4 linked regions of the Macaca fascicularis genome follow. The protein of the gene in region 1 interacts with the protein of each later gene in a biochemical or structural test. Links are inferred from orthologs where the notes say so. Each region holds a gene or a part of one and is shown on either strand. Other genes may lie near its edges.

Region 1 (4,111 bases):
TTTTCTTTGTTTCAGAGTTCTCCTCTTAAGGATGAAGTGAATTATTGTATCCGCTTCTTTGGTTGTATGGTTTCAATGAATGTAAAGATAATGAGAACTGCCTGGCACATAATTAGCACTCAATACATGTTAGCTATTATTACTATTAAAAATTTTCATTTTGGTTGGTAGAACCATACCATCTTTAGGTTCATATTTAAATACAAAGAAGAAACAGTTAATCAACCTGCATTCATACTTTGATAGAAAGATCATCTTCAGTGGCACAATGCCTTCTAATAATCACTTTGGGAATTCTGAACCTGTTGTAAGAAATTTGAAATAGGACACATTCTCTCTGAAGTGAGAGAACTGTTTTGTCCAAAAGGAAAGTTAATGCAGGAAATTTTCTCTAACCAGATATTGAATAAATTTCTCATTCTAAATGTAAAGAAGAAGTAAGCAAGAAATTAACAGATGGTCTATGCCTTGATTTCATGCATTATAAGGAGTAGATAAACCTCACGTTTGCAATCCCAGCATTTTGGGAGGCTGAGTGGGGAGGATTGCTGGAAGCCAGGAGTTAAGGACTAGCCTGGGCAATAGGTTGGGACCCAGTCTGTATTAAAAAAGAAAAAAAAATCAAGTAGACGAGCCTTTTAAAAAATAACATGCTTATACTTAATTAAGGTAGCTTTGTGGAAGTTAAAGGTGTAGAGAACAAGATTATTTTCTAATTATGTTTTCTTGAACATCTAAAGAGACAGGGCTATAAGAAGCCTATATTTGAAAGCCTGTGGGCCAAATACAGGAGAAACTATTCTCAGCTTAAAAACAAGGTAGCTTTATATAAACAGACTGTTCAGAGCAGCAGCCTCTAATGTAATTATTATGAGGAGTTAATCTGAGAAGGTGAAAAAGAAGACACTAGAAGCCTGCATTTTTAAAGGAGAAGAGGAAAAAGGTAGAAATGAAATACTAGGAACGATAAAATGAAACAGTTTAGTGTACATTTTTATGAAGATGCTATAGATTTGTATTTCTTAACTCTTAACAATACATACTTTTTCTAATAGTAATGTATTTGTTATTGAAAAGTTGGATAAATATAGAAAAAAATCAGATAATCCTTGGACCTAAAAAATTCATAGTTAATATTTTTGGGTGTCTATAATTTTCTAAATTTTAATGGACAAAACCACATTCCTCCAATTAAGCAGAAAAAAATGTAAATCTGACACTTCGTTCAAGTAGAATACACTTCCAAATTATGTTCATAGTTTCATACTATAGTAATAGAAATAGTCACATGTTATGTAATATGAGTTCAGGATATGTCTTGCAAATTTGCATTGAGATTTAACATAGATTTGTCTTTTAATTTGTTCTTTATAAAATTGGAAATAAATTTAAGATGCTTGTTTTACTTAGCGTTTGGAAATTAGGAAAGAAAGTCTTGAAGACCTATGATAATACTTTTCATTGGGCTTTGTATTCATTTTTTCTAAATTAGATTAAGCACCATTTGGGTAAATATTTTTCAAGGTTTATTTTGCTTTTTTTCTGCCTGAACTTGTCTGTAATACTGATAGCACTTTTCCTTTGAGAGCTGTGTTAGACTTTTATTTCTACTTCACAGAAAATAATAACAATAACACATTTTAGGTATAGTGGAAGAATACCAGCTTCCTTATCATGACCTAGTGCCCAGTGACCCCTCCTACGAGGACATGAGAGAGATTGTGTGCATCAAGAAGTTACGCCCCTCATTCCCAAACCGATGGAGCAGTGATGAGGTAAGGCTCAATTGAGGTAACCATGTGGCTGCAACTGACTTCTAAATAGACTTCTGTTTTAGCCAAAATTCCACGTATTCATTGTAGGAATTCTTCTTTGTTTTAATGGTGATGGTGATGGCACCTTTTTGCAGTGATTTATATGAAGATAAGTGTAGTTTATTAAATTACTTGTTCTACTTTTCCAATTTTATTTTGCCAGTTCCAGAATATATTGAGTGGGCTGGTCAGTGTTTAACCTGCATAACAAATAACACTATTTTCCTTATTTATAATGTCTTGACATTTGCATAAAACCTATTATTTCTCTGTGTGTGTTTTTAAAGCATCATGATTTTTCTCTGTAACAAACCCATGTACAGCGTTCTCCCATTTTGATTAGAGAAAAAAGTAAGCATGTTAAAGTGATACAAGTTGACCTAGTTAAGATACCTGACTGTGCTGGGTGTCTTTGTTAATAAGGATGATATGTGATTTGAACAAATCCACCTTCAGCTTGGCTCTAAGGATGTAGTGGTGAAACCTACATAGGTCTGGAAAGGAGCTGCTAGGAAGGAGGAAATGAGTCTAGCCTTTCCTGACTCCTCCTCCTGTTCCACATTCCTCTCCTTCCACCCTCCCAGCCTTCAAACTCACTGTGTTCTAGAGTTCTCTGGCGGACTGGAATATTCAAGATGAGTTTGAAGCACCGCTGGGAGAAAAAAAAAAAAAAAAAAAACCCGGCTCTTATCAAACATCTACCAAAGCACTGCAAAGGAGGGACAGAGCACTATTTCTTAAGTGTAAAAGCCATTTAAAAGTAATCTCTGGGCCGGGCATGGTGACTCACATCTGTAATCCCAGCACTTTGGCAGGCCGAGGCGGGTGGATCACTTGAGTCCAGAAGTTCAAGACCAGCCTGGCCAATATAGTGAAAACCCATCTCTATTAAAAAATGCAAACAATAGCTTAGTGTTGTGGTTCACGCCTGTATTCCCACCTACTCAGGAGATTGATGCACAAGAATTGCTTGAACCCAGAAGGCAGAGGTTGCAGTGAGCCAGAATCATGCCACTGCACTCGACAGACCAAGACCCTGTCTCAAAACAAACAAACAACAACAACAACAAAAACACCTTTGGCTCGTTGGTTTTGTGTCTGGTTACTAAAATGCTATATAATAATATATGTTTTCCAGCAAGCTGTGCAGAAAGCTTTATGAGATGCTGGAGCTCTGTTATTGTCGGCTTTTGGTGTTACTTGAAATCTCTTCACTGAGGATTTCTTATGAAGTGAAATTGTACTTTTCAATAGGAAGACCAATAATTGATGTACCACAGGAGAAAGTTTTAGTGATGCTGTGCACAGGTCATTAATCTTGTTAAATGGTGCAGTGTGATGCTATTACTGCAGCAGACAGCTATGATTTAGGAATAACTGTGTTTGCATAGTGTGGAATTAGATAAAAGATTTAAACTTATCAAGTGTTGTAAACAATCTGGGAGTACTGAGTGGAATACAAACTCCCTGGGTATGTTTATGTTTGCTTAACACTAACTTCAAAGACACCCTTCTACAGTCAGCAGAACCACCTGCTTGCTTCTGTCACAAAGAAGACATGAACATCTGTTTTAGTCATATATAATTTTGCATGAAAAAAACCTACAGAATTTTATTCCTACATGGTTTTAAGGGTACCTTTTAAAAATATATTCAAACTTAATGAACCTAAAGCTAAAAAGCTACATTGTATCAGGTGCCAGCATTGCAGATGATACATTTTTCTAACATTTCTCTTCCTCAGTGTCTAAGGCAGATGGGGAAACTCATGACAGAATGCTGGGCTCACAATCCTGCATCAAGGCTGACAGCCCTGCGTGTTAAGAAAACACTTGCCAAAATGTCAGAGTCCCAGGACATTAAACTCTGATATGACAGGAAAAGTAAGCATCTCTGCAGAAAGCCAACAGGTACTCTTCTGTTTGTGGGCAGAGCAAAAGACGTCAAATAAGCATCCACAGTACAAGCCTTGAACATCGTCCTGCTTCCCAGTGGGTTCAGACCTTACCTCTCAGGGAGCGACCTGGACAAAGACAGAGAAGCTCCCAGAAGCAGAGATTGATCTGTGTCTGTTTGTAGGAGGGAGAAACCGCTTGGGTAACTTGTTCAAGATATGATGCATGTTGCTTTCTGAGAAAGCCCTGTATTTTGGGATTGCCTTTTTTTTTTTTTTTAAGATGCTTTCATTTTGCCAAAATAAAACAGATAATGTGGATGGTTTAAGGGTTATAGAATTATAGTTTAAATAATAACAACAAAAGTTCTTCCCAGGAGCTCTGCTGGAAGGTAAATTAAAA
Region 2 (4,844 bases), on another chromosome or scaffold:
TTTTATTACAGATACCTGTAATTCCAGCACTTTGAGAGGCCAAGGTGGGTGGATCACTTGAGCTCAGGAGTTTGAGACCAGCCTGGCCAACATGGTGAAACTCCGTCTCTACTAAAAATACAAAAAATAGATAGGCATGGTGGTGTGCACCTGTAGTCCCACTACTCGGGAGGCTGAGGCAGGAGAATCATTTGAACTCAGGAGGCAGAGGTTACAGTGAGCCAAGATCATGCCACTGCACTCCAGCCTAGGTGACAGCGCGAGACTCTGTCTCAAAAAAAAAAAAAAAAAGAAAAGCCTAGCTGACTATTGCTTCTCCCCGGCCGTCCTTCTTACAGCATAACAAGTGTTGTTGCAGTGAAATGTACAAAAGGGGTAATTGGCCCTGTCTGGGGACCAGGAAAGACTTCCCGAAGGAGGTGAATTTTCAGCTAAACTTCTCAGGATGTGGAGTGCTTCCTCCAGTTGTGGGAGAGAGAGAGGAGGAGATTTCAGGTGAAGTGAACAGCTTTCCCCGCTGACCCTGGGGTAAGTTGCCCAGGGGCTCTATCGCACAGGTCCCCCAGAGGAAGGGAGCTTCCATACTTCAATGGGTTTTCATTTAGAATACTCGAGTTCAGCTGGAATTCAGAACTTCCAGACTTACCAGAAAAGCATCATGTGGGAAATTGTGCCGGGCGCAGTGGCTCACGCCTATAATCTCAGCGCTCTAGGAGACCGAGGCAGCTGGATCACGATGTCAGGAGATGGAGACCATCCTGGCTAACACGGTGAAACCCCGTCTGTGCTACAAACATAAAAAATCAGCCGGGCGTGGTGGCGGGGGCCTGTAGTCCCAGCTACTCGGGAGGCTGAGTCGGGAGAACGGCGTGAACCTGGGAGGCGGAGCTTGCAGGGAGCCGAGATCGCGCCACTGCACTCCAGCCTGGGCTACACAGCGAGACTCCGTAGAAAAAAAGAAAAAAGAAAAAAGAAAAGCATCATGTGGGAAATGGCTTTTCCAGCCTCCTGTAGGGGCCGCTGCTGCCCCAGACTCAGCCAGTCTCTTCTAAGAAAACTCGGAGGACGTCTTTGCCGGGGTGGAGGTGGGGTACACCCTGGACCTGCCGCCATCCAAGGAGTGGACTTAAGGGCGGCAGTGCCCCCAAGCCTGAAGAATATGCACTCAGTCAATGGCATTTGGTGGTAGGGAGGGGGTGTAGTGGGCACAGATATTTTTCAGTCTCTGGGTCACCACAAGTTTATTAAAATAAAAGAAAATGTGGGTAAATGCTGCCATCTGTGCTGTCCCTACTCCCAATACACACACACACACACACACACACACACACACACAGAGGCACACACACACAGACACACATAAACACACACATACAACAAATCAGGTCCCAGGCTAGATGCAGGAGTTGAAACTGCTTTAAAAACACTCTAAGGACTTAACTACAAACCCACACTCCCCATGCTTCTGGGGCTTAAGATCTTTGAGCTCATTCTTCAGCATCTCTCCTTGGGAAGGTGGGGTGGGCTGCTCCATGAGGTGGAGGTGAAGACCCCTGAGTCTGCTCCATGGAGGGGGAGGCCCCCTAAGCCTAGAGTCCCGCTGCGGGGCTCTGTGCCAAGAGCCCCCGTGAGCCATGGCCTCGAAAGGGCAGCGGTGATTTTTTTCACATAAATATATCGCACTTAAATGAGTTTAGACAGCATGACATCAGAGAGTAATTAAATTGGTTTGGGTTGGAATTCCGTTTCCAATTCCTGAGTTCAGGTTTGTAAAAGATTTTTCTGAGCACCTGCAGGCCTGTGTGTGTGTGTGTGTGTGTGTGTGTGTGAAGTATTTTCACTGGAAAGGATTCAAAACTAGGGGGAAAAAAAAACTGGAGCACACAGGCAGCATTACGCCATTCTTCCTTCTTGGAAAAATCCCTCAGCCTTATACAAGCCTCCTTCAAGCCCTCAGTCAGTTGTGCAGGAGAAAGGGGGCGGTCGGCTTTCTCCTTTCAAGAACAAGTTATTTTCAGCTGCTGACTGGAGACGGTGCACGTCTGGATACGAGAGCATTTCCACTATGGGACTGGATACAAACACACACCCGGCAGACTTCAAGAGTCTCAGACTGAGGAGAAAGCCTTTCCTTCTGCTGCTACTGCTGCTGCCGCTGCTTTTGAAAGTCCACTCCTTTCATGGTTTTTCCTGCCAAACCAGAGGCACCTTCGCTGCTGCCGCTGTTCTCTTTGGTGTCATTCAGCGGCTGGCCAGAGGATGAGACTCCCCAAACTCCTCACTTTCTTGCTTTGGTACCTGGCTTGGCTGGACCTGGAATTCATCTGCACTGTGTTGGGTGCCCCTGACTGGGGCCAGAAAGCCCAGGGGACCAGGCCAGGATTGGCCAAAGCAGAGGCCAAGGAGAGGCCCCCCCTGGCCCGGAACGTCTTCAGGCCAGGGGGTCACAGCTATGGTGGGGGGGCCGCCAATGCCAGGGCAAAGGGAGGCACCGGGCACACAGGAGGCCTGACACAGCCCAAAAAGGATGAACCCAAAAAGCTGCCCCCCAGACCGGGTGGCCCTGAACCCAAGCCAGGACACCCTCCCCAAACAAGGCAGGCTACAGCCCGGACTGTGACCCCAAAAGGACAGCTTCCCGGGGGCAAGGTACCCCCAAAAGCAGGATCTGTCCCCAGCTCCTTCCTGCTGAAGAAGGCCAGGGAGCCCGGGTCCCCGCGAGAGCCCAAGGAGCCGTTCCGCCCGCCCCCCATCACACCCCACGAGTACATGCTCTCGCTGTACAGGACGCTGTCCGATGCTGACAGAAAGGGAGGCAACAGCAGCGTGAAGTTGGAGGCTGGCCTGGCCAACACCATCACCAGCTTTATTGACAAAGGGCAAGGTGAGGGGGCGGGGTGGCAGGGGCACGGCTCAGAGGGAGGGGCATCTGCATGAATGGAGGGGCTTTCAAAGCCCTGGCACTGCCCTGGTGGGAGACACTGTGTGCATCTGGCCCGGGGTGGGTGTATGGGGACGCTCACACATATCTCACACATAGCAGATCCCGAGCTGCCCACACATCAGGGCTGGAGGGCACCTAGGAATCACCAGGTTCAATGCCTGCAAGGTGCAGGGCGGGCACTAAAGCCTAGAGAGGAGACAACACCTGCCAGTTGGTGGCAGAGTTGGAGACCGGATTCCAAGACTTGATTCCCCAGCTGTGCATCTGTCCCTGCTGGGCTGGCCGAACTTTCCACGCTCCAGGGGTTTGTAGGTGGTCTCAGATGGCAGAGAAAGAAATGAATCTTGAGGTCCCCGTGGTTCTGCAACTTTGCCCTCAGGCAAGGGGATAGAGGAGGCAAGAGAGGTGCTCACAGTAAATGGGGCATCTTGGAGTCATGGAATGATGTTCGAATATATGGGGAGGGAGCAGACCTAGGGTCTAACTCGCAGTGTGACCTTGGGAAAGCCCCTTCTCACTTGGGGTCTCTGTTTTCCCATCTGTACACCTATATGGGGTTGGACAGGGTGGTTTCTGAGAGCGCTTCCGACATGAAAACTTTAGGTCCTGTCCTGAACACGCCTCATTCTCCTTACATTAACTCGGGAGACCTCTCTCTGCTCCCCTCTGTCTCTCTCTGCCCACCTAGTGTTACTGTTGCAGCTTTTCCTCTCCACTTGCTGTGTGATCTAAGCAAGTCCCTCCCGCTCTGAGGGCCTCAGTTTCTTCCTAGTGTGAAGAGGGAGGTGGGCTGTTGGTCGCTCAAGTTGCCTGCAGCTCATTTGCTCTGGTCCTAGGCTGGCAGGGTGGGGGAGGGGTCAGAGGGTGGGAGAGGTTTCTCATTAGAGCTGGCCTGGAGGGGGCTGCCGGGGCGGGGGGTGGGGGGGTGGGAGAGGCACAGAGGCAGCAGGTCTGGCTGAGGTGGGGGAGGTGGTCTGGCTGCCTGCCCAGCCAGGGAAAGCTGTGACCCCTTGGGGGCTCATAAAATAAGTCCTTGTGCCCCCCAGCACTAAGGGAGCTTCGAGAGGGGGAGATGGGGAGTTTAAAGGCCTAATTAGTCACCTTCTAGAGCAATATATGAAAGCTCCCCAATGGCAAATTGGTATTCAGGAAGGAGGGCATGCTGATTCAGAGATACTACTGAGCTTCTCACATAAACATACATAGCCTTATGTTTATACAGACGTGCTGAATCACACATGTACACGCATGCTGACTCACACACGTACACACATGCTGAACCACACATGTACACACATGCCGAATCACACATGTACACGCATGCCGAATCACACACGTACGCATGTGCACACACACCTTCTTACATACACGTGTACACAAGATCGATTATGCACATACATACATATATGTGCTCTTCAAATAGTACACAAGCCCAATCATTTATACATATAATGCATCATTAACGTATACTCTTTCATATTCACACATGAACCCAACATTAACGTATACTCTTTCATATTCACACATGAACCTAATCACACACACACATACAACTGTAACACACGCACACACTCAGGAGAGTAAGACACATAGGCAACAAAATCCTTGCACTGGGAAGCCAGGAAAATTGGGCTGTAGGTCAGTGTGGACCAGCTTTGACATTAAGTTGCTGTGTGACCTTAGTCAAGTCACTCCCCATCTCTGTGCCTCATCTGTAAAACAAGAGCACTAAGGTCTCCTTTAAGGGATGGTGGAAGCAACTGAGAATTTGAGCAAGTCATCTAACTTCTCTGAACCTTGGGATTCTCCTCCAGAAAAGCATGGGTTTTTTTTGTTGTTGTTGTTTATTTGTTTTGTTGTTGTTTGTTTGTTTGTTTTTTAGCCAGGGTCTCTCTCTGTT
Region 3 (4,669 bases), on another chromosome or scaffold:
CTGTGGCCTTCCCAAACAAGTCCCAGCTTGCTCCTGCCGCCATGGGGGAAGCAAATAGCCAGCACCAAGGTTCCCAGAGGCACCCTCCGAGCAAGCTGGTCTTTCTCTGGGGGACAGGGAGCCCCTGGGGCCTCGCCCACACCGCCGGCCCATAAGCAGTGGCAGCTTTTTTGCTCTTGGTTTGCAGGGCCTTCTACAGAAGCCGGAGATTACAAATACCTTTTTAATGACCCCAGCCAGGCTCTGAAGGCAGCCGCTGGGATCTGCACATTCAGTGGGAGTCCAGGGTACCCAACAGAATGGAAGATGCCATAAATCCCCCACCAGAGAAAGGGCCTTGGCTAACCCCAGGCTTCAGGAGGGCGACAGAGCTCTGCCTTCATTATTTGTGTGTATGTATTTGGAATTTTCCTTTAGTTTTTGGTATAGTTAATAAATACGCATTGTTTTTTTAAAAAAATCACCAATACAGAAGTGCAGACAATGAAACATTAGACCCCAGCTCCCACTCCCTAAGCCCCAGCTGTGCCCCCACCTCTCTAGCCCTCCAGTAAGATCTCTCTCCAGTTCCTGGTGTCTTCCTCCAGGAGGACACGATGATACACAAAAGCATACATGCAGGCCGCTCACCTGCACCTTGCTTCTTTCCACCTCATGCATCTCGGAGATGGTTCTAAATCAGGTCATATGTTGCTGCTTCCCTCTTAACTGGCTGCTTAGTATAATTTAAACTTTCTTGAAGGTATTTTGGCATCTAAACCTCCCACCCCTTGCTCGCTGAAGCTTGGCTCACTAGCTGGATTTGGTTATTAAGTACAGACAATGGCCTCCCCGGGAACTCCAGGGACCTTATCAGGAGGGGGAAGCATGAAGGCGGATCTGCGCTTCCCCGCGCCCCCAGTCCACGCCCCAGGTGCCCAGCGTGGGGCTTCAGTATCATTATTTCCATGTTGACACAGCGCCCGTGGGCGTGAGTTTGCTGTCTTGACTTGGTTCGGGTTTTCGCAGCAAGTTACACAAGTAGAATGAAAGCGCTCAGGAAACAGCGCTATCCGGGCGTGTTATCTCGGAAACCAAATATTTGATCATCAGTCCCGCAGAGCGCTGCCGGGGGTTAGTTTGAGCAAGTCTGGAGAATGAGTGCGCGCAGACGGAGGGGGAGCTCCCCGGCCCTCGCCGCAGCCCCAGGCTCGCGTCCCCGGGGTCGTCGCGGCTCCAATCGTAAACTGGGACCCCCAGTCGCCCCCGCGGCGTCAGCTCGGAGATCCCGCGCAACCCAATCGCCAAAACCTGTGGTTTGCGCGCCACACGTGATAAATGCTGAAAATGGATTCTGCCGGCCCGAGACCTACCACTAAATATTTAAAATAGAAAACTAGAGCCAGGGCACTGTGGCTCACGCCTGTATTCCGAGCACTTTGGGAGGTTGAGGCAGGAGGATCACCTGAGATCGGGAGTTCGAGACCAGCCTGACCAACATGGAGAAACACAGTCTCTACTAAAAATACAAAATTAGCCAGGCGTGGTGGTGCATGCCTGTAATCCCAGCTACTCGGGAGGCTGAGGCACGAGAATCGCTTGAACCCGGGAGGCAGAGGTTGCGGTGAGCAAGGATTGCGCCATTGTACTGCAGCCTGGACAAGAAGAGCGAAACTCCGTCTCAAAAAAAAAAAAAAAAAGAAAAAAAGAAAATAAAGAAAATAAAAGAAAGAAAAAAAAAGAAAAAAGAAAAGAACGCAAACTAGCAAGCTCCCCAACTCCAGCCAAGAGAGAATGGGGCATCCGGCGGCCCGGAGAGGGGCCCCAAGGCGTTCGGAGCGCGCGGTAGGCTAAGGCGGGCGCACCACTAGGGGACAGGTAGGGCTTGTCAGGGCGGGTAAGGGAGTGCGACGGCCGAGATGCCAGGGCCAGGCAGGGCTGAGAGGGGCCCAGGAAGGGCGGGAAGGCAGCCTCGCCGGGAAGGGCCCTTTACATCCAGGTAGCGCGAGCCGCGCCAGCCCAGGACAGCTCACATGACCAAGCCCCGCGCTTTGAACGGCCGGCGCCTCCAGTCCCAGAGATGCGGCCGGCGGCGTAACATGGAGGGGACTTCCGAGGATCCCTCCTTCCCAGTAACCCCCACAGGCCCACCGAGCCCAGCGCGCCAGACCTGGAGGCGCACACAGCTTGGGAGCCATAGGGCCGTGGGTGGGAGACCCTCGGGCAGGCACTGCGATTTCAACCAGGAGCAGAAAGCTGGGCGGGCTGTATAGAAGAAGCGGCTCCCTCCCTCCCGGTTTCAAAGTGCCCCCGAACAGACACGCGTACCCCCGCCTGCCCTTACCGAGGTTGACGAAGCTCATGACCATGTCGGCGTCGGTGAGGAAATGGCTATCTTGCAAGCTGGCCAGAGGGGGGCCCTGGGTGCTGAAGACGGCCTTGTAGGGGTAGGAGAAGCCCTGGCCGCCGGGCCCGCCGCCCTCCTCCACCGCCATGGCGTTGTACAGGTCCAGCATGAACATGGGCGCCGAGTTGTGCTTGCCCTGGAGGTGCGGGCGCGGGCGGTGGGGCAAGCCCAAAATGGAGAGGATCTCGCGCTGCATCTCCCGCCGCTCCTGGCTGCGGAGGCGCCGATGGATGAAGCTCGAGTGCACCTCGTTGTCCAGGCTGAAGTCGGCCAGGGCGGAGCGCAGCAGGAACAGGGGTGCCCAGAGCGCCACGAAGCTGTGCGGCGCCGCAGCGCGCAGCGAGCGCACGTGCATCGCGCCGGCTCTACGCGCGACCCGGGCTCCGGGCTTCGGGCTCCGGGCCCGCACCGCCCCAGGTGGCAGAAGGGGCAGGCGGCCGTTCGCGCCGCTCGGTCACTTGCTGCAGACGGGCCCCGCTGCGCCCGCGCCAGACATGGCCCCTCCCCGGCCTGCCGCGCTCTGCCCGGACCCCCGCCCCCTGCTGGGTGCTGGCCCCGGGCCCCTCGCCCCGCACTCGCCCGGGCGCACCGCCGGGCTTGGAAAGCAGCCCCGGCGAACGAAGAGGCGAGTGAGGAGGCGGGCGCGGGTGGGAGGAGCAGCCAGCAAGCCTAGGAGTCCAGAGAGCCAGTGCCGGGGAGGCAGCGAGGAGGCAGGCGGGCGGGCTAGCGCTCCTTCTTCCCGCTCCTCTGGCGCTCTCGCCCTCAGGCGGCGGCGACCCACCCTCTTCCAACCTCTGGCGTGGAGAGCAGGGGCCCCGGGGCGCTCTCCCAGCCCTGCGCGCCCTGGATCGCACAAGAGGCCGCCTCTGGAGCGCCAGAGTGGTACACGCTGGGGCCTGGGCAGAGGAGGAGGAGGAGGACGGGCTTCAAGGGGCCCCTCCCGCGCCGGCGGCCTCCCACCTGCCCTCGGCCCCGCCCTCCCCCTAGCTGTGCCCAATGGGTTCATTCATTCCCTCTAGAGCGCTCGACAAATGTTTACCGAGTGCCCACGGGGAGCCTAGAGCCTGGCGGGACGTCGCGGGGATGCGGCTGGAGGAATCCAAGCCGGCCCTGCCCTCTTGGCACTCGCGGTCCGGACCAGGAAGGCGGCCCGAACGGGACCGGTGGGCTGCGGGCCGCGGTGGGAAAAGTTGGGGGAGCGCGGAGGTGGCGCGGAAATAGAAGGCTTCCTGGAAGCGGTGACCCTTGAGGCGGTCTTGCCCCTCAGTCCCCGTCTCCTTTTAAGCCAGCCACGCTGACCCCTCCGCGCCTCTCTGAACCGGTTGCCAGCTTGTCTCTGCGCTCGCCATTCCCTCCGCCTGGACGCCTTCCGGCTCACCACCTCCCGCCCCCCATCAGACCCTGCTTTCTCCCAGAGACCTCCAAGACCTGCCAAGCTGAGGTTGTTTCCTCGCCTCACCCCCACGTACATTTGTTTTCTTTCCTGTAATTTCTCTTGCTGTCTGGAATTGTTGTTTGAGTTACTCCGTGCCTTCTTTATTGCCTTCTTATCCCCGCTAGACGCCCAGCGCACTGAGGCCAGGACCAGCGATCTTCTCCGCAGCTCTGGTGCCCGCAGTGCCTTGAACCCAGCGCCTGGTAGCCACTGTGGCTGCGCAATCACGATTTGTTGAGTGAATAAGTGAACTTCGTTTGAGCTGGGGGGTTCTTCCCACTTTCTCCTCTAAGGGGCCCTGTATCTTTCCAGCCACCCCTCAGCCTGAGACCAGACACCCCAGCCCCACCACTAGGGGTTCCCATCAGCCCTCCCCGTCGCAGTGCCTGGGGAGCCAGCCGCTGGTCTTCGCATCCTCTTCCCCTCCAAGGGTCTGTGCCTGAGACCTCCCCATCAGCCTCCTCTCCTGCCTCTCCTCATCTATTCATCCCTCAATCAATACTGAGACATGCACGCTGTCACAGCGAGTCCCCAGACCACTCAGAACCTACTGGTCCCTCTGCCAGTGTGGGATCTCAAGGGAATTACTGCACCCAGAGTGGCAGTGAGGGCAGCAGGGTAAAAGTTCATCCTGTCTCCTTCCCCTGCTGGGGCTGGGTGAGAGAGGATCCCCAGAGGGGCTCTGGGATGAACTGGGAAGGACTGAGGTTAGGGAAGCGGGTGGGGGCAGGGGGGTTGTCTGGGAGGGGCTCTGGCTAAGCCTCACTTTGGGGCTGTCCTTCCTGGAGCACGAGAGCTGGGGAAGAGAATTATGGTCTTCGACAGTTTTCTGGAGCAGAAGTAGTTTG
Region 4 (4,629 bases), on another chromosome or scaffold:
TCAACCATAAATTAGAAAGACTTTGGGGCCCTGGGCTTTGATTTTTCAATACTATCTCTGAAAACTCTGCCCTTGGCTCTGTCTACCCTGAAACCCTGGCTTAAGCAGCAGATTTATAGAGCAAAAGCTTCCAAACAGACTTAAAGAAATCTTAATCTGCCTCCCTTTTCCTCCTTTTCCCTCTGTGGAATTCTTGCACGTTTAGCTGACTAGGGGCATGCCTTTTGCCCTCATCTTCCCCATCACTTGATTTCTCTCCAATCCTTCCGGGAGGAGTAGCTCTTCTGGCTGCAAGCCAGGAAGAGGGTGCGGAGTTACTAAAGGGGAATCCCTGGCTCCACCACCACACAAGCAGTGAGTTAAAATCAGATTCAGAAACCATAGTACAGAAGCAAGAGTGGAAACGTCCGCTGGCGCCCTGGCTAAGCTGCCTCTATAGGGATGGCTGCAGTCTGCCCACGGTGGAGGGCTTTGCAGGGTGACTCCCCGCCCCCACGCCCTGCTCCATGCCTCACCTTCATGGTGGAAGCTGCGCACAGTGTTGGCTCGGCTGGCTGCCCTCTCCAACCGGTGGTCTGGGGCAGGTGAGCCCGGCTGACCCGAGTGCCTGCGATACAGGTCTAGCATGTAGGGGGGCACCACGGCGTCCCTGCTGGGGGTGGGTCTCTGTTTCAGGCCGAACATGCTGAGCAGCCGCAACTCGAACTCGCTCAGGACCTCGTCAGAGGGCTGGGATGAGGGGCGGCCCGACGACGACGCCGCGAACTTCCTGCGGCCCAGCTCCGGAACGAGGCCAGCCGCGCCGCCCAGGAGGACCTGGGGAAGCAGCAACGCTAGAAGACAGCGGGTCCCGGCCACCATGGTCGACCTGCGGACAGGACCGACGTGAGTCACCCGAGCTCCCCGCCCAGTCCTCCCCCCTCGCGCCCCCGCGGCCCGGGCTCCCATTTGGCTGGCGTGCCTCCTCCAGGTTGCCCTCCTGGCTTGGCACACTCGCGAGTCTAGGTAAGACCGACCGAAGCTCAAATGTTTGGGATAATGAAGGGCCCCAAGTTCCAGAACCAGGTGATTTATCGCTCCCATCCAACTCTTAACTTGTCTAACATCAGATTTGGGGTTTGCCCTCCCCTCCCAACCAAACCAGCGCCAATGACTGTCACTTTTTTGTGTGTAACACAGCGCTGACTGCCAATGCTGGGAACCTGGGAGAACCACCGCTTGGTCTGACACCCTGCGTCCCCTATACAAACCCAAATGCAGAGCGCTGAGCGCTCTCTGGCATATAAACACACACAAATGGTGCATGTGACTTCCTTAGAGGCACTGTATAGAACTTCCTGACACACACACACACACCCCTATAACTTCCAGACCCTGTAAGCTCAAGGCCACAACTTCTGAAGCCACTTACAACTTGTGTCCCACGCCCCTACACTCAGGGGTGTCTGGAGAGGCAACTCCATCCCGCATCCCCGTAGTACGGTCAAGATACTCATGTATCTTCCTGGGATTACATACATGGTGAATATCTATTAATGCACGTGTCAGCTGTTAAAAACACAGCACCAAGTGATTCTTCAGTACTGACCCCTCGCATTTCTGGAAACAAGAAGGGAGAGCCCCAACTCCTAGTACTTTTCTCAATGGGATAGGGCTCTGAGTAAAGAAACCAAGTCTCCCAGAAACACTAGAAGAAGGGAGATCGCCATGGCAGGGTGGACAGGTTCTCAGCTAACGGGTGAAACCCAGGGGCTACCCTCTCAAAGGGATTTCTTTGACTCAAAAAAAAAATAAATAAATAAATAAATAAAATAAATAATTTAAAAATAAATAAATAAACAAAACACCTCATCTAAGTGTTAACAGCTCCAAAAGTATTCCGGGGAGAGGGTAAGAAAGAGGGGTGGAAGAGTGCGGGCCGGGAGGGTGAGGCTGATGGTCGCCCGGGACAGCTGGAAGGGGGCACCCCGCAGGGCTCCGTTGCACGTGGACTGGAAAGGGGTCTGTTTACTTCTGGCCTGGACGTAAGGAAGGGCTCTGCCGCAGTGGCTGCCCAAATCCCCCTCCCACCTACCACCTACCCCGGCCCCTGGCCCGCGTCCTCTACCTTTAGGAGACCGCAGTCCGTCTAAGAAGCACGCGGAGACACGTCCATTGAAAGAGCGTCCACATGGAAAAACTCTGGTCAAAGGACCTGGCGCAAGGACCGAATGTCCGTTCCTTTTCTTTGCCTCCTCCTTCTCCCGGGTGCCGGCCGCGCAGTCTCTTTTCACGCTGGGAACAGCGTCTCAGTCTCGGGCAAGGCCGAGGAGTGGAGGGGCGGTGGGGCTCGGAGGTGGCGAGGCAGGCTCCGCTGGGGCAAAGGCACGGGCGCAAAGTGGGGAGCTCAAGTTATTCTCCCTGCAAGTTCAAGAAGTCCCCAGCCAAGTGCTGACACACAACAACAGCGAGCAGGGGGAGGAGTGCGGGGCAGGGAAAGGAAGGGAGAAAGGAGAAGCTGGTGCTGTCGTCCTCCTTAGGAACCAGCGCCCGAGGGACGCGTGGCCCCGCGCGGGGCCGGCTCCAGGACTCAGGGAGCGAGGGTCGGGCGCTCTGCGCTAGCTCCGCCGCGGCCCATGGCTCGGGGCAGCCATCCTGGGCGACGCCGGGTCCGGGGAAGGGCACGGCGGCGATTTCGGTGCCAGGCGAGTTGCCCCCCCGCATCACTCTGCCTTACTCCAGTGCACCCCCATTCGCGCTCGCCAGTTGAAAGCACCGCGGCTCTGGCGCCCCGTCGTCCTCGGGCGCATTCTCCGGCGAGTCGAGCCAAGTCCCGGGCCGCCGAGGCGGGTGGTTGTGCTCTCTCCTCTCTCTCCTAACCCTGGGGCCAAATGCCCTTTGTGACTAGCCTGGGGTCCGATCACACCTCGGCCGGCGCTTCCCAGGCCCCCGATCTCCTGCAGTAGGTGCCCCGCATCGCGGCGCTAGGGATCGGCTCCGGAGTCGCCGGCGCTCTGCGCGCCCGTCCGCGACTCTGGCGCAGCCGGGGCAGCAGAGGCCACGGCGCTGTGGCGCGCTCTGCCGGGTGCTCCAGCCCGCGCGGGGTCTGCGGCGCGCGGATGCCTCGCGGTCCCCGGTGATCCGCGCGGCGCTGGCCCCGAGAACGTTCGGGTCGCCGGCGGAGGCTGTGGCGGCAGATGTGCGGCGGAGGCTGCCAGTCCCCGGCAGGGTGTGGGAAGCGGAGCGACTAGCGCAGCGCGAGCCCGGCGCAGCGCGGCGGGGCGAGGACTCCGGCGGCGACGGCGGCGGCGGCGCCGTGGCGCGGCGCTCGCGGCTTTTAAAGGGGACGCCGCCTGCCGGCTCCCTCCCGGCCGCGGCCGAACACCTCCCCCTTCGCGGCGCGGCTCGCCGGGGATCCCCGAGCGGGCGGGAGCTGCGCGCAGGGGTGTGGACGGCGCGCCCGGGCAGCCGCGGCGGGGTGGGGCGGAGGGCGGGGGCGCGCGGCCGCCAAGGGGGGCGCTCGCGCCTCCACTCCCTGTCCTCAAAGGAGAGATCAGCTGGCGCGCCGGACCCTCGCGGGGACTCCGGAGGCGAAATCCAGGACAAATGCAGGGTCAGGGTCTGGCTTCTATTTCCCCTCTGGGCCCGTTATTCAACTTTCAGTTTGGAGTTTTTCGATAATATACAATTTCAAAAAACAAAACAAAACAAACACCTCAATTACAGCGCATTTTGGCATAGCATAGACGTCGGATTCACGCTTCTGTTTCCCCGGAATAGGAGGAAAATTAAAAGAAAACAGGAGGCTGGAAATTGAGTGTTTTTAAACATTAATACAAAGAGATGTATGTATTTACATATGTAAATGCATGTGTACAAATTTCCTTTTACATAAATATGTGTGTGCATTTATTTTCATATCCATATGCATGTTACAGTTATATAAATATATCCAATATACAAAAATATGTACATATATTTCTATATATTCATATATGAGAACATATGCAACCGAAGGTAAACATTTCGGTAAATATATGTCTACGTGTGTGACATGGATGTCATCCTGCTTTACGTGACATGTGTGTAACGTAGACTGTGTGTGTGGCAGCCTGAGGGATGGATGGGAGGGATTTGATTTCTTTTCATGGTACAACCACTTTGTGCCTTGTGATGTTTATCTCACCCAGCTCAGAGGCAGGCGATTAACAGCTCAGAGGAAGGTAAAATAACGCACTGTGTGAACCAAGCATACAGGACAATTTCAGTTTGGGACCTTGGAACCTTCTACTCCACCCTCTTCCATCAGGCCCCCAAGAAGTAGGGCTGTGACACGTGGCCAAGTCACTCCTCAGCTGAATATTCGCTCAAGTCACTCCTCAGCCGAAACATTCCTCAGAGCTGCTGCACGATGAGTCTGGGGCCAAGGCTTTCTGGCCTTCCCAGGATTCCAGGAGCCCCCATGCACAGCACCTCGGGCTTGCCCAAATGATTCCCGAAATCAAGGGCAGAACATTTTTGGAAGAGGCCACGGTCTACTTTCCCAGAGCTATCGGGCCTGCAAACCAGAGAGAAAAAAGTCAAGCGGGAGCTGGTAATAAAACTATTATCCATGTGTATTATTTTTTCGGTGGGGGAGCTAAAATAATA

Evidence for each region.
Region 2: the proteins of BMPR1B (region 1) and GDF5 interact in a biophysical measurement, tested with the Homo sapiens proteins (3 studies listed by BioGRID and IntAct, with this or other methods). The link is inferred for Macaca fascicularis from reciprocal best matches to the Homo sapiens genes BMPR1B and GDF5.
Region 3: the proteins of BMPR1B (region 1) and BMP7 form a complex in vitro, tested with the Homo sapiens proteins (2 studies listed by BioGRID). The link is inferred for Macaca fascicularis from reciprocal best matches to the Homo sapiens genes BMPR1B and BMP7.
Region 4: the proteins of BMPR1B (region 1) and BMP2 form a complex in vitro, tested with the Homo sapiens proteins (3 studies listed by BioGRID and IntAct, with this or other methods). The link is inferred for Macaca fascicularis from reciprocal best matches to the Homo sapiens genes BMPR1B and BMP2.

What each region holds. Positions count from the first base shown.
Region 1 is NC_088379.1:100,764,458-100,768,568, forward strand, and holds part of BMPR1B (bone morphogenetic protein receptor type-1B), read left to right. Parts: intron 1-1,644; coding exon 1,645-1,775; intron 1,776-3,558; coding exon 3,559-3,684; 3' UTR 3,685-4,111. UniProt on the Homo sapiens protein: On ligand binding, forms a receptor complex consisting of two type II and two type I transmembrane serine/threonine kinases.
Region 2 is NC_088384.1:91,491,681-91,496,524, reverse strand, and holds the start of GDF5 (growth/differentiation factor 5), read left to right. Parts: upstream 1-1,907; 5' UTR 1,908-2,259; coding exon 2,260-2,884; intron 2,885-4,844. UniProt on the Homo sapiens protein: Growth factor involved in bone and cartilage formation. During cartilage development regulates differentiation of chondrogenic tissue through two pathways.
Region 3 is NC_088384.1:113,316,906-113,321,574, forward strand, and holds the start of BMP7 (bone morphogenetic protein 7), read right to left. Parts: upstream 3,241-4,669; 5' UTR 2,742-3,240; coding exon 2,324-2,741; intron 1-2,323. UniProt on the Homo sapiens protein: Growth factor of the TGF-beta superfamily that plays important role in various biological processes, including embryogenesis, hematopoiesis, neurogenesis and skeletal morphogenesis.
Region 4 is NC_088384.1:80,544,414-80,549,042, forward strand, and holds the start of BMP2 (bone morphogenetic protein 2), read right to left. Parts: upstream 3,293-4,629; 5' UTR 2,108-3,292; intron 869-2,107; 5' UTR 862-868; coding exon 516-861; intron 1-515. UniProt on the Homo sapiens protein: Growth factor of the TGF-beta superfamily that plays essential roles in many developmental processes, including cardiogenesis, neurogenesis, and osteogenesis. Induces cartilage and bone formation.